2 linked regions of the Macaca fascicularis genome follow. The protein of the gene in region 2 binds, or shares a complex with, the protein of the main gene of each other region. Links are inferred from orthologs where the notes say so. Each region holds a gene or a part of one and is shown on either strand. Other genes may lie near its edges.

What was found.
Region 1: the proteins of CDK5R1 (region 2) and CDK5 are in contact, whole or in part, in a crystal structure (PDB 3O0G), measured with the Homo sapiens proteins. The link is inferred for Macaca fascicularis from reciprocal best matches to the Homo sapiens genes CDK5R1 and CDK5. Residues at the interface, in NP_003876.1 of Homo sapiens: Trp190, Gln193, Thr197, Pro198, Ala199, Phe203, Tyr231, Leu232, Ser235, Tyr236, Met237, Gly238, Asn239, Glu240, Ile241, Ser242, Tyr243, Pro244, Leu245, Lys254, Glu255, Trp258, Asp259, Cys261, Leu262, Ile265, Asn266, Ser269, Ser270, Met272; in NP_004926.1 of Homo sapiens: Leu37, Asp38, Glu42, Gly43, Pro45, Ser46, Ser47, Leu49, Arg50, Ile52, Cys53, Leu54, Lys56, Glu57, Val69, His71, Leu76, Arg120, Asn121, Val122, Leu147, Arg149, Ala150, Phe151, Gly152, Ile153, Pro154, Arg156, Cys157, Tyr158.

The regions. Positions count from the first base shown.
Region 1 is NC_088377.1:192,333,991-192,340,998, forward strand, and holds the start of CDK5 (cyclin-dependent kinase 5), read right to left. Parts: upstream 3,693-7,008; 5' UTR 3,647-3,692; coding exon 3,610-3,646; intron 3,082-3,609; coding exon of another isoform or gene 3,055-3,081; exon of another isoform or gene 2,986-3,054; intron 2,963-2,985; coding exon 2,874-2,962; intron 2,777-2,873; coding exon 2,709-2,776; intron 2,598-2,708; coding exon 2,537-2,597; intron 2,438-2,536; coding exon 2,381-2,437; intron 1,651-2,380; coding exon 1,555-1,650; intron 1,409-1,554; coding exon 1,334-1,408; intron 1,175-1,333; coding exon 1,078-1,174; intron 898-1,077; coding exon 828-897; intron 258-827; coding exon 197-257; intron 82-196; coding exon 1-81. Other genes in the region: uncharacterized protein, read left to right, coding at 3,055-3,081. UniProt on the Homo sapiens protein: Proline-directed serine/threonine-protein kinase essential for neuronal cell cycle arrest and differentiation and may be involved in apoptotic cell death in neuronal diseases by triggering abortive cell cycle re-entry. Interacts with D1 and D3-type G1 cyclins.
Region 2 is NC_088390.1:38,866,030-38,872,837, reverse strand, and holds CDK5R1 (cyclin-dependent kinase 5 activator 1), read right to left. Parts: upstream 4,289-6,808; 5' UTR 4,114-4,288; intron 3,806-4,113; 5' UTR 3,665-3,805; coding exon 2,741-3,664; 3' UTR 30-2,740; downstream 1-29. UniProt on the Homo sapiens protein: p35 is a neuron specific activator of CDK5. The complex p35/CDK5 is required for neurite outgrowth and cortical lamination. Involved in dendritic spine morphogenesis by mediating the EFNA1-EPHA4 signaling. Activator of TPKII.

The DNA of each region.
Region 1 (7,008 bases), on a different chromosome or scaffold from region 2:
CTGCAGCAGGTCCCTCCCCGTGGCATTGAGTTTGGGCACGACGTTCACCAGGGATGTTGTGGCCGGGTACATCGGGTAGGGCTGTGGAAAGGCAGGGAGGGTCAGACTAGAGGTAGGGGGAGGGGGGTGGAGGCTGCTAGGAATGTGAAACAAGAGTGACCCTGATGAACCATGACCCCCCAATTCCCCATCACACCTTATAGTCTGGCAGCTTGGTCATAGAGGGCCACTGCTCCTCAGTGGGCGTCCCCAGCAGCGTGTCCACGGAGTCAAGGATCACTTGGGAAAGGGCCACAGCTGCATCTTCAGGGGCAGGGTGAGGGCCTCTTCCCCTCCCGGGGAGGATTCCTCATACCCACCACCTACTTCTCTCACCCTCCCTTTACCCTCTGGCTTGAGCTTGACAGAAGCAACCCCGGGCACGTCACTCGTACATCCAACCACGTTTCCCATGACAATCACTAACTAGTCTAACCCACATGCTGCTGTCCTAGTCCTAATGAACTGGTCCTTGCCCCGCTCCCACAAAATGTGTCCTGCTGTCTTTGGCTCCTTCATCCTGGCATCCATCTCTCACCTGGAGGGACACCCTCTTGGCTTTGCCCCCCAGGGCACACTGCCTGTCTCCAAGCCATACCTTCTCCAGTGTGTATCTGCACTGTGACAATCAGGGTGTCCAGCACCTCTGCTGTCTCCCCTTGCCCTCAAGAGAAGCCCTACAGACCCCAACACCCCACCCCACACCATCACTGCCCTCACCCACTGCACTCAAAACTCCATGGGCTGTCCCCTCCCAGAGGGCTCAAGGCAGAGGAAAACAAGGATATCGGAAGATCCTCTTCAACTGGTCATCAACATCATTGCCGGGAAAAAGAGGCCGCCCAGCATTGGCCAGCTCTGGGGAGCAGATAGGGGGATAAGATGTGACATGTGAAGGACCCCTCACTCTGAGGTGCCCCCTGACCTTCCAGCCCCAGTCCCAGAGCCTCCCTCCCTTCCCCTAGAGGGAACCCTCCAGACCCTATTTGTCAACCCAAATGGGAAAGAAGGTGCCTCTGGAGCGCCCCAGCACGTCACCTGCAAAGATGCAGCCGGCTGACCACATGTCGATGGACGTGGAGTACAGCTTGGCCCCAAAGAGGACATCCGGTGGGCGGTACCACAGTGTGACCACCTGGAGGAGACCGCCCCCCGACAGGGGACTCCCACTTAGAGGGCTGGGGAGGAGGTTTGAGGAGGAGGCTCAGAGAGGAGAGGAAAATAGTGTTTTGGGTCCTGGGGTTGGAGCTGAGGGACTCCCTCCCCCAATCCCATATCCCATCTCCTAGCTCACCTCAGCTGAGTAACAGCGGACAGGGATCCCAAAGGCTCGAGCCAGGCCGAAATCAGCCAATTTCAGCTCCCCATTCTGAGGGGAATGGGAAGGGGACATGGAGAAGGGCCTTTAAGCAGCCTTGGGACAGCACAGACTCCATCCTCCCAGTCCTCTTCCCTCCGTGCTCCCCATGCCCTGGCCCCAGGCTTCCCACTCCCCACCTTCTTCCCAAGAAGTACCCTGTTTATTAGCAGGTTCTGGGGCTTCAGGTCCCTGTGTAGCACATTGCGGCTATGACAGAATCCCAGGCCTTTCAGTAGCTGGAAGAGGAATGACTGGGAGGAGAGCAGGCAGAAGGGAGTCAGACGCCCTGAACATGCAACTGTGCCCAGCAATGGGTGGCTCCTCTCCTCACCCTGTGCTTCACTCCACCCCACCCACCTTTCAGCACTTGGTTCAGAGTGACACCATTCATTCGCCATCCAGAACCTGCTTTATACTGTACTAGGCATTAGAGGGACAAGAGTGAAGAAACTGGCCCTGGTCCCCATCTTCCTGGACCATATAGCCTAATGGGCCTTGCCAGGTGGATCCTAGATCCCGCCTAGATCCTAGCCCATGCTGATCTTCCCTTCCTGGCGGCATCTGAGTATGCACACGATACTACAGCACATAAATATCATGCTGTAGTATCATTCAGGACTGGCTCCCCTGGAACCTGGACCAAGGCATTTGGTCTTGGGCCTAGAAGAGCACCTGGCACACAGTGAAGCATTCAGTAAGTATGTATTGAATGAATGAGTGTATCTCCTTGAACCTCATTTTCTCATCTCTGAATGTAAATACTATCACTGACGTCAGAGTGCCACTGTGTGGGTCAAAGACGACCACGTGAAAATGTTTGCTAAGACTGGAGGCTCCTAGAGGGCAGAAACAGGGTTTTCTCATTCTCTGACATCCCAGAGCGTCCTTGTTCAGGGCCCAAAGTTAGAGCCCAAGGAGTGCTTACACTGAATGCAGACTCTGACCCCAGCCTGAGGGGTCCCCCAACACCACTCTCCTCACCTTTACAATCTCAGGATCAAGGTCACCATTGCAACTATCAAAATACTTCTTCAGGTCCTGAAAAGGGATATGAGTGGGGGAATGGGACAGAGTTTAACCTCAGTCTGGGCCCCTATACCTTCCCAAGGCTACTGTCCCCCAAACCCCGCCTTTCACCTGGTCACAGAATTCAAAAACCAAAGTCAGCTTCTTGTCACTGTGCAGGACATCATGAAGCCTAGGGCAAAAGAAGGGCTCAGCCATGCAGGTCCGCCTGACAGACGTCCAGTGTCAGCCCCCGCCTCCCCCAAGCGGCCACACCGGCAAGGAGCACCCGCCTCCCGCACACCTGACGATGTTCTTGTGCTTGAGCTCCTTGAGTAGGCAGATCTCCCGGAGGGCAGAACTCGGCACACCCTGCATATGTGAGGGGGCCGGGTGGGCAGCAGTCAGATCCCACCCAGCCCAGGCCCTCAACCCCCTCTCCAGGCCCTATCTCAGTCCCCAGTCCTACCTCATCATCGTCATCCAGCCTCACCCGTTTCAGAGCCACGATCTCATGAGTCTCCCGGTTTTTGGCCTTGAACACTGTTCCGTAGGTGCCTAGGGGAAGGAGGTCAGGGGTCAGGGGGAGGATGCGGCACTCTTCCCTAAGCCAGGAAATGCCTCCCGGGAGGTGAAGGCAGCGTCTGAATATGCAAAGAAAGGGATTCAGGGTGAAGGTAGGTGGGTGAGCTTTGTGAGTGAGGATGTGGCAGGTGAGGAGGGAGGAGAAGGTGCCCGCGGAGGCTCCAGGGGCTCAGCAGGAGGGGCGAGTGCGGCTGCGAGGGCAAGGATGTCTAAAATGAAGGCGGTGCTCCGGAAGGGTCTGGAAATGGTGAGGAGGGGCCTGGGAGAGGACTGACGGGCTGCAGAAATATTGAGGTTGGAGGTCTGCAGCAAGAACCGAGGCTGGGGCTCGGGGTGAGGTTGTCCAAGTGGTGCTGAGGCTGGGGTGAGAAATTCAGGAAGTGTCGCGGTTGGGAGGTCGGGTCTACTGGGAACGCTAAGGTTGGAGTGAGAGCCTGCGGGAAATGCTAACACCGGGAAGACTGGTGTCTGCACGGAGTGCTGAGCTCGGGGGCCAGGGCTGCAGCCGCTGCTGAGGTCGGAGCCTGTAGGTATTGCTGACGGTAAGGGAGCCAGGGCTGCAAGGAATGCCGAAGGATCTGCAGAGGGGCTCTTGCAGGAACATCTTGAGATTCCATTACCTTCCCCAATCTTTTCCAGTTTCTCGTATTTCTGCATCGCGGCGGCCGCGGGGACCCCTGCGGGCCCTCGGTTTTAAGACTCTGGCCCCGGCGTTGCAGAGGAGGCGGCACCCGAGCCTCCAGCCCCGCCCCGCCTGGCCGCGCAGTACCTTCTGGGGCTTGTAGTCCTAAGACAACAAGGTCTCCCCGCAGTGCCCGAGACCGAGGACAAGAAGACTACAAACCCCAGCCGTCTGCGCTCACGCTCTCTGCAGCACTAGACTCCAGGGCTCCGGTTCCACCGCGGAGGCAAAACCCTGGACTTCAAGTCCCAGGGAGCAACGCGTGTCCGTTTTCCGGGCGCCCCGCCGCGGCGCCGCGGTTCCCAGCGTGCCCCGCTGTTGTTATTCCTTTTATGTGCTCCCAGCCTTCTTGAAAAGGGCTGCTCCGGGACTACGCGTTCCAGAATGCAGCGGGGATGGGGGCGGAGCGCTCTCGGTTAGGGGTTTGGGGTTTGGCGGCCTAGATCCCGAGCCTTGGCGGCCCAGCTCTGACCTGGTTGGTGGCGTTGAGTTCCCAACGGCCTCTTGACGACCTCAGCACGGGTTTCCTCCACCTCTCCCCAAGCCACCTAGTGACACCAGGATTCACTGGGGAATGCATGTGAGCGATGATGACCTCACAGGGAACAGCTGACCGCAGGGCTGGGAAGAGAACAGCTGTGCCCCTTTGAGGCTGGATTTTAGTGGAGGGACACACGCCAAAGACCCCTCTCTCTGCTGGGCCCCGTTTGTTGTCTCGGAGCCCACCCGACTCCAGCCGCTGAACTCTGACATGCTGAGAAAAGCTGGGTGGAGCCCTGGAGGTCCCCCCAGACCCCAGTCTCCGGAACGGGGCCCACTGGAGTCAGCCAGGGTGTGGCCGGCAGGTTGGTTAACCCCCTCCACAGACAAGACCACAGACCGATGCTCAACTTGCAGCAGCCTCTACCTCATCCCTTAAAGGAGTTGATTATAGATTCCCTTGCGCTGCCTCTCTAATTGTCTCATGATTGCATTCTTGAGGGCTACGGACCGAGGGAAAAGGATCCCAAACAGCACTCCTCGGCACCGGAACCAGAGTTACTGCCAAACACGTGTTAATTAACTCGTTTCTATCTGAATGCTTTTGCATACACAAGAGAAAAGAAGCGAAAAGTACATTCCTTATCTGGAAGACTTTGTGATTTCGTTGGGCAAACAAGAACTACACACAGGTCTTGAATGATAAGTGATGACTATGACTAGGGTTCGATTCAGTGTGGAGGTTCCATTCAAGAGGAAGGAGGCCACCATAGCGAATCTCTGTCCCTCTCAGGAAGTGGGGAGCCCCTAACAAGTTGCCCTCTCCCAGATCAGCTCAGGGTACTGGGCAGCCAGCTTCCAGCCGCTGTCACCCTTCTCACCTGCTCGCCACCGTCCCTCAGGGGCTTTCTTGGAGGCACGGGGGTTATTTGGGAGGGGGGCCGCAAGAGAATCTCAATCCCGATACGTTTATGTTTCGACTTCTCCGAATTTCCTTGTGCCTGCGTTTTACTGCCTGGGATCCGTAGCGTGAGGCGGGCTCCTTTCCACCCAGAGGTGCCGTAATGGAGCCAAGAGACGGCATCCTCGGGGCTTCCAAGCCCGGAGTGGGGAAGCTTGGGGCAGAGGGACGGCGGGGGCGGCCCCTGGTGCCGGGCTGTGCCTGGAAGCGCGCCCCCGCCCCTGCCCCCGCTCCCGCCTCCCCACCCGCGGCGGCGGGACCGCGCACGGTGCGCCGGGGGGCGCGCACGCAGGGGGCTGGCCTGCCCGTGGCGCGGGGGAAAGTTGAGTTGGGAGAAGTTGGGAGCGGCGGGGGCGCGCCCCGGGGTGGGCACGGGGCAGTAGTCGGGAGCGCGCGAGGGTGCCGGAGGACGGGGAGAGACCCCGAGACCCCCGGGGCACGAAGTCCAGAGCGAGCGGGTAAGCGGAGAGGCGGTGGCGGGGGAGGGCCAGGGCCGCGGAGGGAGGAAGGGAGGGGGAAGGAGAGGGGGGAACTCGGGACTCGAGCAGGGAGGGAGTGGAAGTGGAGGAAAGGGCGGAGACTGGGGCGCGGGGAACCGCGGTCTTGGGGAGAAGGATGAGGAGGCGGATGGAGTGCTGGTCGGAGGCGGGCATTCCGGGGTCCCTTTCTCAGAGTTCCCTAAAGCCATGGTGCCGCGCCCCCTGCCACCAGGAGTGGGTAGTCTCCCTGAGGAGCCGCCGGCCCTCCCACTCCCCGGCTGGCTCCAGACCATCCCTCCCCTCCGGCCACCCCGCATAGTCCTTCAGTCCCGTCCGGGGCGCCCAGACTGGGGGTTGCCCGGGGCCTCCATCCCCAGTCTCCGGGTTGGGAGGCGAAGCCAGGAAAGGCGGGTGGCGGGTAAGGTCGGGACAAGGGGTCAGGCAGAAGAGGGAGCAGCTGGGTGGGGATGGGAAAGACGAGCCCGGAGAGTTGGACCTGACTCCCGGGGTCGGTTTGTCTAGGCGGGGAGTTCTGTGCTGGGTGTGAGAGACGGCACTGCCTGAAATCCAGGGTCTACTTTATCCCGCTTGGTTTCCCCCGCCAGTTCCACATGGAAGAGCTGTGGAATTTACGAGTTCACTTGGGGGGTGGTTAATGCCCAAGTGGGGGTCTGAGATGCTAATCCTTTGGGCAAGGGGAGAGATGCTAATCCTCTGGGCCGGTCGGGGCTGGTCCGAGGAATGTGCCCCTACCCGGATTATCGGCACCGATGCTCTGGACAGAAGCTGCTTTGTGTTCTGGGACAGCGGGGGAGGGGGTGCAGAAGAGTGTGGAGGAGCGCGTTGAGGGCACAGCCTGAGGTGGGAGTGGGCGCCTGCAGGTGCTCAGGGCGGACTCTTCCCACAACCTTCCCAAACTGGGTGCCCTCACGCTCACCCACACCGCTCGCCCTGGCTGAAGGCCTGCTGAGGGGGAGGGGAAGAGCGTAGTTAGCCGAATTGGAGTGCTTGCCAAGAATGTGTTGCCAGGCTCCCCATCCTGGGTGAGCCCCCCCCGACCTATATTGTTTGACCCTACACTGACTTGTCTTACTCCTGAGTCGGGCACCCCCAGTCCCCAGCAACACACTGGGAGCATCGGTACCATCACTTTTTGCCAGTCTTGGGTGTCCCCTGTGCTGACCCACTAGGAATAGGCCCCCTATTTGCAGGGATTGGGCTCCCTCCTGCAGCTCCTTCTCTGCCCCCACCATACAGTGTCCTCCCCAGACTCCCTACAGTCACAGTCAGGAGGATGGCAGCGCTGCCACTCAGATTTTCCTGGCTCCAGGCTCTGAAGGGGCGGGATCCAGACCGCCCCTCAGAGGCAGAACCTCAAGGTTGCGGTGCCCACCCCCTCCCAGCCCATCACATGCCC
Region 2 (6,808 bases):
AGCCTGCCCACAAAAAGAGGTCTCTGTAATGGATGGTCAGTGCATTTTATTGAATCAGCACAGTACAAAAATAAATAAAAATAAGGGAAGGGGAATTAAATTAGAGCCAAACTGAGCTTCATGACTTTGTCAGATTATAAACCACACATACAAACACACTACACATACATACAAAATGAGACAAATATAAATTAATATTAACAATACCCACAGTTTGGTCAAAGAATAGCTACAGAAGAAATTGCACTAAAAAACCAACATACATCACACGTGTGTAATTAGCAGTTTCAAATATACAGCTATGAATAATTCCAAGTGAAAAAAAAATGGCACATTTTCTTTTCATTGCAAGTTTAACTGTTGGAACAAAACTAAGTTCTAATAACTGCATGGAAAGAATATATCAACCCTCCAGGTTTACAAGAAAAAGAGAAAAACCAAATCCTGAACTATTATTCCTGTGGCTTGTTCTGTGCATGGGTGTAATTTTCACAGCCATCTGTTCTAAGATTATTTTTCTTAAGACACAAAATGCTCCTGGTTTGCATGCACAATATCACTGTAAAAGCAACAATTAAAGAATAAAGGTTTTTTTGTAGGTTTTTTTTTTATTGTTGTTCTAAAAGTAGTCTTCATAGCAGCATGGCAAATGGGTTCTTTGCTTGCACACTCAAGTATATCAGTTGTTCCTTTACACAATACTGATGACCAGTGCAAGGGAAGAGAGGGAACACGACAGGCTTCACACTGAGGGAACTATAGAGTTCTTCCCTTAGTCCCCACCACTTCCAAAATGTCCACCTCTTCCAAAGAATAAAAAAATAAATACGGAGAAAGAGAAGGAAACAGACACGCAACTGGAATCCTGTGGATGCAATGTAACCGCACAACTCCAGGTCAGGTTCCACCAGCTGAAGGTGATACACACATGCGCCCTCCTCCTGAGACTTGGCACTGACCCTCCCTCTTCCATGCCACCAGGGGCATCCCACCTCTGGTCGCACGCGGCAGCAGGATCTGAAGACAGGCTGTGTGGAAACCCAGCAGAGAGGAGGTGCTGTGTGAAGTCTGTGCCAGCAGCCGCAGGCTCCTTCCAATGCTGCACCGATTATCCGACAGTCCTAGGAACGGCTCCGCTGGGCCTCAGGTGCAGCCAGGCAGCTGCTCTCCGGCAGGGCAGGCTCTCTTCCCCACCTCTGGGAATGCCTCCGGCCACCAGGTTCTGCTTCAGGACTCTTAACACTGGGACTTCAATTTCACAGCTTTCTTTTTGTGTAAATTTCAGTAGTGCTTGTGCTGAAATTGGTAACCACCTTGAACCTAATCCTATGTAAAGTGACCCTCTGCCTCCCCACCCCAGGTCCCCATTCCAGCACTCCTGGGGGGACTGGGCCTGGAAGACAGAATCCTCTGTAGCGTCTTCACATTGGTCTTTGTTCTCCACAGCAGAGTGACGGGCCATGGAGGAAGGCTTGCTCCCTCTCCCAAGTCCCAAGCCACCAATACGGGAGAATGAGAAAGAAAATCAATAAAGTACACATTTGTGTTTTTACAGCCAGTAGGGGAAGGTGGAAACCAAAACCAGCAGCGGCAAATGATCAGTTGTAGAAATCAGCAGGCTTCCAGAGCAATCAGGAGTCTCACTCCCGTCTTGTAATTGTCTCCAAGATCCAGCTGTCTCACTGGTCCCTGTGGGGCAAGTCTTCCTCTTTAGAAGAAACTCAACTGTTTGGAAACAGCTTTAAATTAACAGGGGTGGGGGTGGGGCCACCACATCGCCTTCCCCCCAGCTCTGCAGGACAAATGTCATGTGCACCAGCAAGAGGCCTTAGCCCTTAGGTGGGCACCGGCTTGGTCTCAAGGTATGGCATCCCTCACCTTGCCCAGAAGGCAGGCGTTGCTAATGGGCACCTGCAGCTGTCCTGGCATTTGCCACAGGGCGACTGCACTGCATTATTCAAAAGAAAAATTCACCCAGGAAAGTCGTCTCCAGCTTCACCCCACCTCTTTAGCTGGGACCCAAAATGAGAAAAAGTAATGAGTCAAAGCAGCTCATCGGCCAATACCAGCAATGCGGCTGTGAGCAGCAGACAAGGGGGCAACGGGCGAGTTCCATTTCTCCACTAAAGGAAAGCCCTTCTCCCTAAAAAAGAAAACAGCAAATCAGGGCGGTGTGTGGTCAAACGACCAGACACAGTCTTTCCACTAGACCTGCTCAGCTTCGCCTCGCCTAGATTGAAGATGTCCCAGCGCAGCGGGGATCCTGCCTCATGACCCCACTGGCAGCTCAGTTAGGGTGGATGGCTCCAGGAGCCTCTGGGAGAGCGAGTAACTCCACACAGGAGCCAGAAAAGGGCCTCCAACCAGAAACCCCAATTCCTCCCTGGGTCAGGCAGCCAGAGTCCCCTCTCTAGCGCCATACAGGGTGCAGCCGGCAGCCTCGCCTACCCTGGACCCAGCAAGGGCACAGGCGGCAGGGGCAGGTCAGTTCTTTGAGTTCCCCAAAGTGGGAGGTCAGTGGCCTGGGTGGCTCCGAATACATCTTCTGGGTTTTGCGCAAGGCTCGTGAGTTCAAAAGTGCCCAGAGTTCTTGGCAGGGCTGAAAAAACCCCAGGGAGAGACTGTGGGAAAGGTGAGGCCCTTGGTGGCTTTGCTAGACACATACTGTACACAAAACTGATTTAATAATAAATTTTTAAAAATGCATTGAATCCTTGAGCCATGGCGCAGGCTACAGTGCTCACCGATCCAGGCCTAGGAGGAGCCGCTTCTTGTCCTCCTGGCTGCTCTCGTTCTTCAGGTCGGAGAAGACCTGTGTGAAGTAGTGTGGGTCGGCATTTATCTGCAGCATCTTTGAGCTCATGAGGTTGATGACAGAGAGGCAACGGTCCCAAAAGGCCTCCTTGCAGCTCTCCACCAGGAAGGGCTTGAGCGGGTAGGAGATCTCGTTGCCCATGTAGGAGTAGGAGAGGTACAGGCACGTCAGCAGGACGGCCTGGAGCTCGTGATCCGAGCCCACCTCGGAGGAGATAACATCCCTGCAGAGCATGTAGAGGAAGACCACGTTGGCCGGCGTGATGAAGCCCTGGTCCTGCCAGCCCTGCAGAAGCAGCGAGCGGTCCACGCTGCGCAGCCAGAGCACGGGGTCCGTGGGGGACAGGTGCTTCAGGCGGTAGCACCGGCGGCAGAGAAACTCACCCAGGCAGCGCAGCAGCTCGCTGGTGGACGCCTGGACGATGACCCGTTTGGGCGTCCCTGCGGAGGTGACGGCAGGGTGAGGGGCTTTCTTGACCGAGGAGGAGCCCCCGGTCTGGGAGCCCGAGAGCTGGCTGGCCGGGGGTGCGGGCGGCTGGGCCGGTGGGGGCTGGGCGAATGTGGACAGGTTGGCGCACGACAGCGACTTCTTCAGGTTCTCATTGTTGAGGTGCGTGATGTTGTTCTGGTAGCTGCTGTTGGGCTGCACCTTCTTGGAGTTCTTCTTCTTGGCCGACACGGCCACGATTCTCTTCCAAGGCAGCACGGAGATGATGGAGTGGCGCTTCAGGTTCTTGTCCTTGGCGTTCTTGCTGTTCTGTACGGCCGTATAGTGGCCCACGGTGGCCGCGCCATCCTCAAACAGCGTGGCCTTCCGGTAGCTGGGGGACAGGGACAGCACCGTGCCCATGGTGCCGCTGCGCGCCGGGCGGGGGCTCGCGCCCCTGCGCGCCCAGCCTGCCGGCCGGAGGGATAAAACCACTCACGGAGCCTGCGGTGGCCCCGGGGAGGAGGCGGGGGCGCTCCCGGGAAGCGTGCTGCCCCCTTGGATCTGCCTGGAAAACAAGATGGTTCTTAGCGCCAAGCTGGGCTCCGCGCCGCGCCCCTCCGCCCCGCGCCTCCGCGGACCCCGCGGCCCCAGTCCCGGGCCCTACCCGCGGCCCCGCGCCCCCGCGCCGCAGCCTCGCCGCCTCCACTGCAGCACCCCCGCCCGCCGCCGCCGCTGCGGTCCCCAAGCGCAGCTGGGAGGGGCCCGGGCGCCGACGGAGGCGGACGAAGACCCCCGCCTGGACACCCCGCACGGGCGCGACCCGGGCCCGGCTCCTCTGGGCCAAGGACGGCCGCCCAGCGCAGGCTTACCCGGCAGGCGGCAGCTCCTGCGCTCCGCGCCCTCCGCAATGCGCGCCGCGGCTCTGCCGCCGCGGTCCCGGCGCTCGGGAGCGCTCGGCGGGGATCGGCTGTGCCCGCGCTCGGCGGCGGCGACGGCGGCGGCGGCGGCGGTGGCTGCGGCTCGGCAGCTTCTGTCCAAGGTTCTGCAGGCGCCGCGGCCCCGCCCCCCGGCTCGGCCGCCCGCACCTTCGCCGCCGCCGCTGCCGCCGCCGCCGCGCTCCCGCTCCCGCTCCCGGCGCGCGCCTCAGCGCCCTCCCTCGCGGGGCGCGCGCGCCGTCCACGCGCCGGCCTGGTCTCGCCGGGGAGTTGCGGCCGTTGATGTCCTCAGCTCGAGCCGCGCACGGTGCAGGTAGGACGCGGCGACGAGCGGGAGGCACCTCTACGCACCGGGCCCCATCTAGGAGCCGGACTCGGCGGCGGCGGCGGGACACGCGGCGCCGGCCCGCCCCGCCCCTCGGGACCGCCCCTCCCGCACAGCTCGCCGCCGGCTCCGCGCCGCCGCCCAACAGCAGCCCGGCCGCCTGAGAGTCCCGGGCGCCCGCGCAGCCCAACTCTGCTGACGCTCGGCGGGCGCCGAGCAGGGCGGGGCTGAGGGCCGACCCCGCCCGCGCCCCGCCCAGACACGTGCTGTCTTTGTTCCCGCCGCGGCGCCCGCAGCTGCCGGCCGCGGGGGCGCTCTCGGTCGAGTCCTGCCCTGGCAGCGCGCGGCCCGCCCTCTCGGAGGCTGCCGCCCGGGCCCTGGTGAGGAGCCCTCCGCCGAGGCCAGGGCCGGTAGCTCCCTCCTTCCACCTGACATCCCCGTCCCTGTGGAAAGCAGCCAGGGAGCGCGGGAAAGAAGGCCCTGGGCGGGGAGAGGCGAAGCCTTTACTGAGACCTCCCAAGTGCCAGGCGCACCTCGAGTGGACAGTCCCATCGTTTCTGGCCACCCTTCTGGGGCCTCCGTTCCCTCATCCCGGGGTAGATGCCCGTGGCCCGAGTGGGCCTCAGAAATCCAAGCCAGAGAAGCGTGGCCCGTAGCAGTTCCGGGCCACCAAGAGCCAAGCCTGAGTCCGTCACAAATATGACCTCGAAGTTCCCACTCGCCCTCTTTGTTGTATTAAAGCTGAAGCAACTGCCCCTCTGGCCAGCTTTCTGACCCTCTTAAACGTTTTCAGTTCTAAGTATGTATAATTTAAGAACTTGATGCTAGCGAAATTGAGTAAAATTCTGGTTCTCAAAGAGCTGTTCCTGTCGGATGTGAATCCAGATCCTTCACAAAGGCCGTTGTTCATTTACTATTTTACCTTGTTTCTGAAGATTGAGTCAAAACTGACCACAAACCTGGGAAACAGGAGACTTAAGCCCTGTCTTAATCCAGATCATCTCTGGACCTAGAGATGATGTAGTGGCACTCCAGAGGAGAGGATGACACCCAATTACCTGACCACTCTGGCCCACTAGGCTTTCACCCTGCACCAGCCCTGTCAACTGCCCTAGGGGGAACAGAATGGGAATCTGACATCATTCAAAATGCTGCAATCACGGCAGAAAGTGCTGGATTTTGTTTATGTGCCACTCAGAAATTTCTGTCAATGGGAATTCCAGGCTTTAGGAACCTTAGGGGGCAGGCATACAGTGGAAAGTCCATTGCTCTGTACCCAGAGGACAACTTTGTCCACAGCCCTTCAGAACATCCACAGCAGCTGTTAGGGGAACTCAGAAGAGGAAGGCAGGCTCCCAGCTCAGTGTGCCCCTCCCTGTGAATGTTCCTTGGTGTACAAGCCTACCTGCTCTTCACATGGAGCTGTCCTCAACCCTCCTGCATCTAACAGTAAGAAGCCAGAAGAGGCCAGACATGGTGGCTCATGCCTGTAATTCCCAGCACTTTGGGAGGCTGAGGCGGGCGGATCACCTGAGGTCAAGAGTTCAAGACCAGCCTGGCCAAATGGTGAAACCCCATCTGTACTAAAAATACAAAAAAAAATTAGCCGGGCGTGGTGACGCATGCCGGTAATCCCAGCTACTCAGGAGGCTGAGGCAGGAGAATTGCTTGAACCTGGGAGACGGAGGTTGCAGTGAGCCAAGATCGCACCATTGCACTCCAGCCTGGGAAACAAGAGCAAATCTCAAAAAAAAAAAAAAAAAAAAAAAGGAGCCAGAAGAAACAATCTCCTTTGAGACCCTGACCAAGTGTCCCTCTTCCTTCTCAAAGGAAAGCCGAACCCCAGCCTCTTTTCCTCAGCCCCTACTTGGAGCCTCTAGCTTCTGAGTTGGCTCTGTGCCCCCCTTCAGATTCTAGTGTTGAGCCAAGGTTAAATGTTTTCCACTTCCCAAAACATGTCCAAATTTTGAAGCCTATAATCCACCCCGGCGGGGCGTGGTGCCACACCGTGTCCAGCAGTTTCGGAGGCCAAGGCAGGTGGATCACCTGAGGTCAGGAGTTTGAGACCAGCCTGGCCAACATGGTGAACAACCCGTCTCTACTAAAAAAAAAAATTAGCTGGCCGTGGTGGCAGGCGCCTGTAGTCCCAGCTACTCAGGAGGCTAAGGCAGGAGAATCGCTTGAACCTGGGAGGCAGTGGTTGCAGTGAGCCGGTATCACACCACTACCTTCCAGCCTGGGTGACAGAGTGAGACTTCAGCTAAAAAAAAGAAAAATCCACCCCCTAGAAAAACCTGGGCCTAC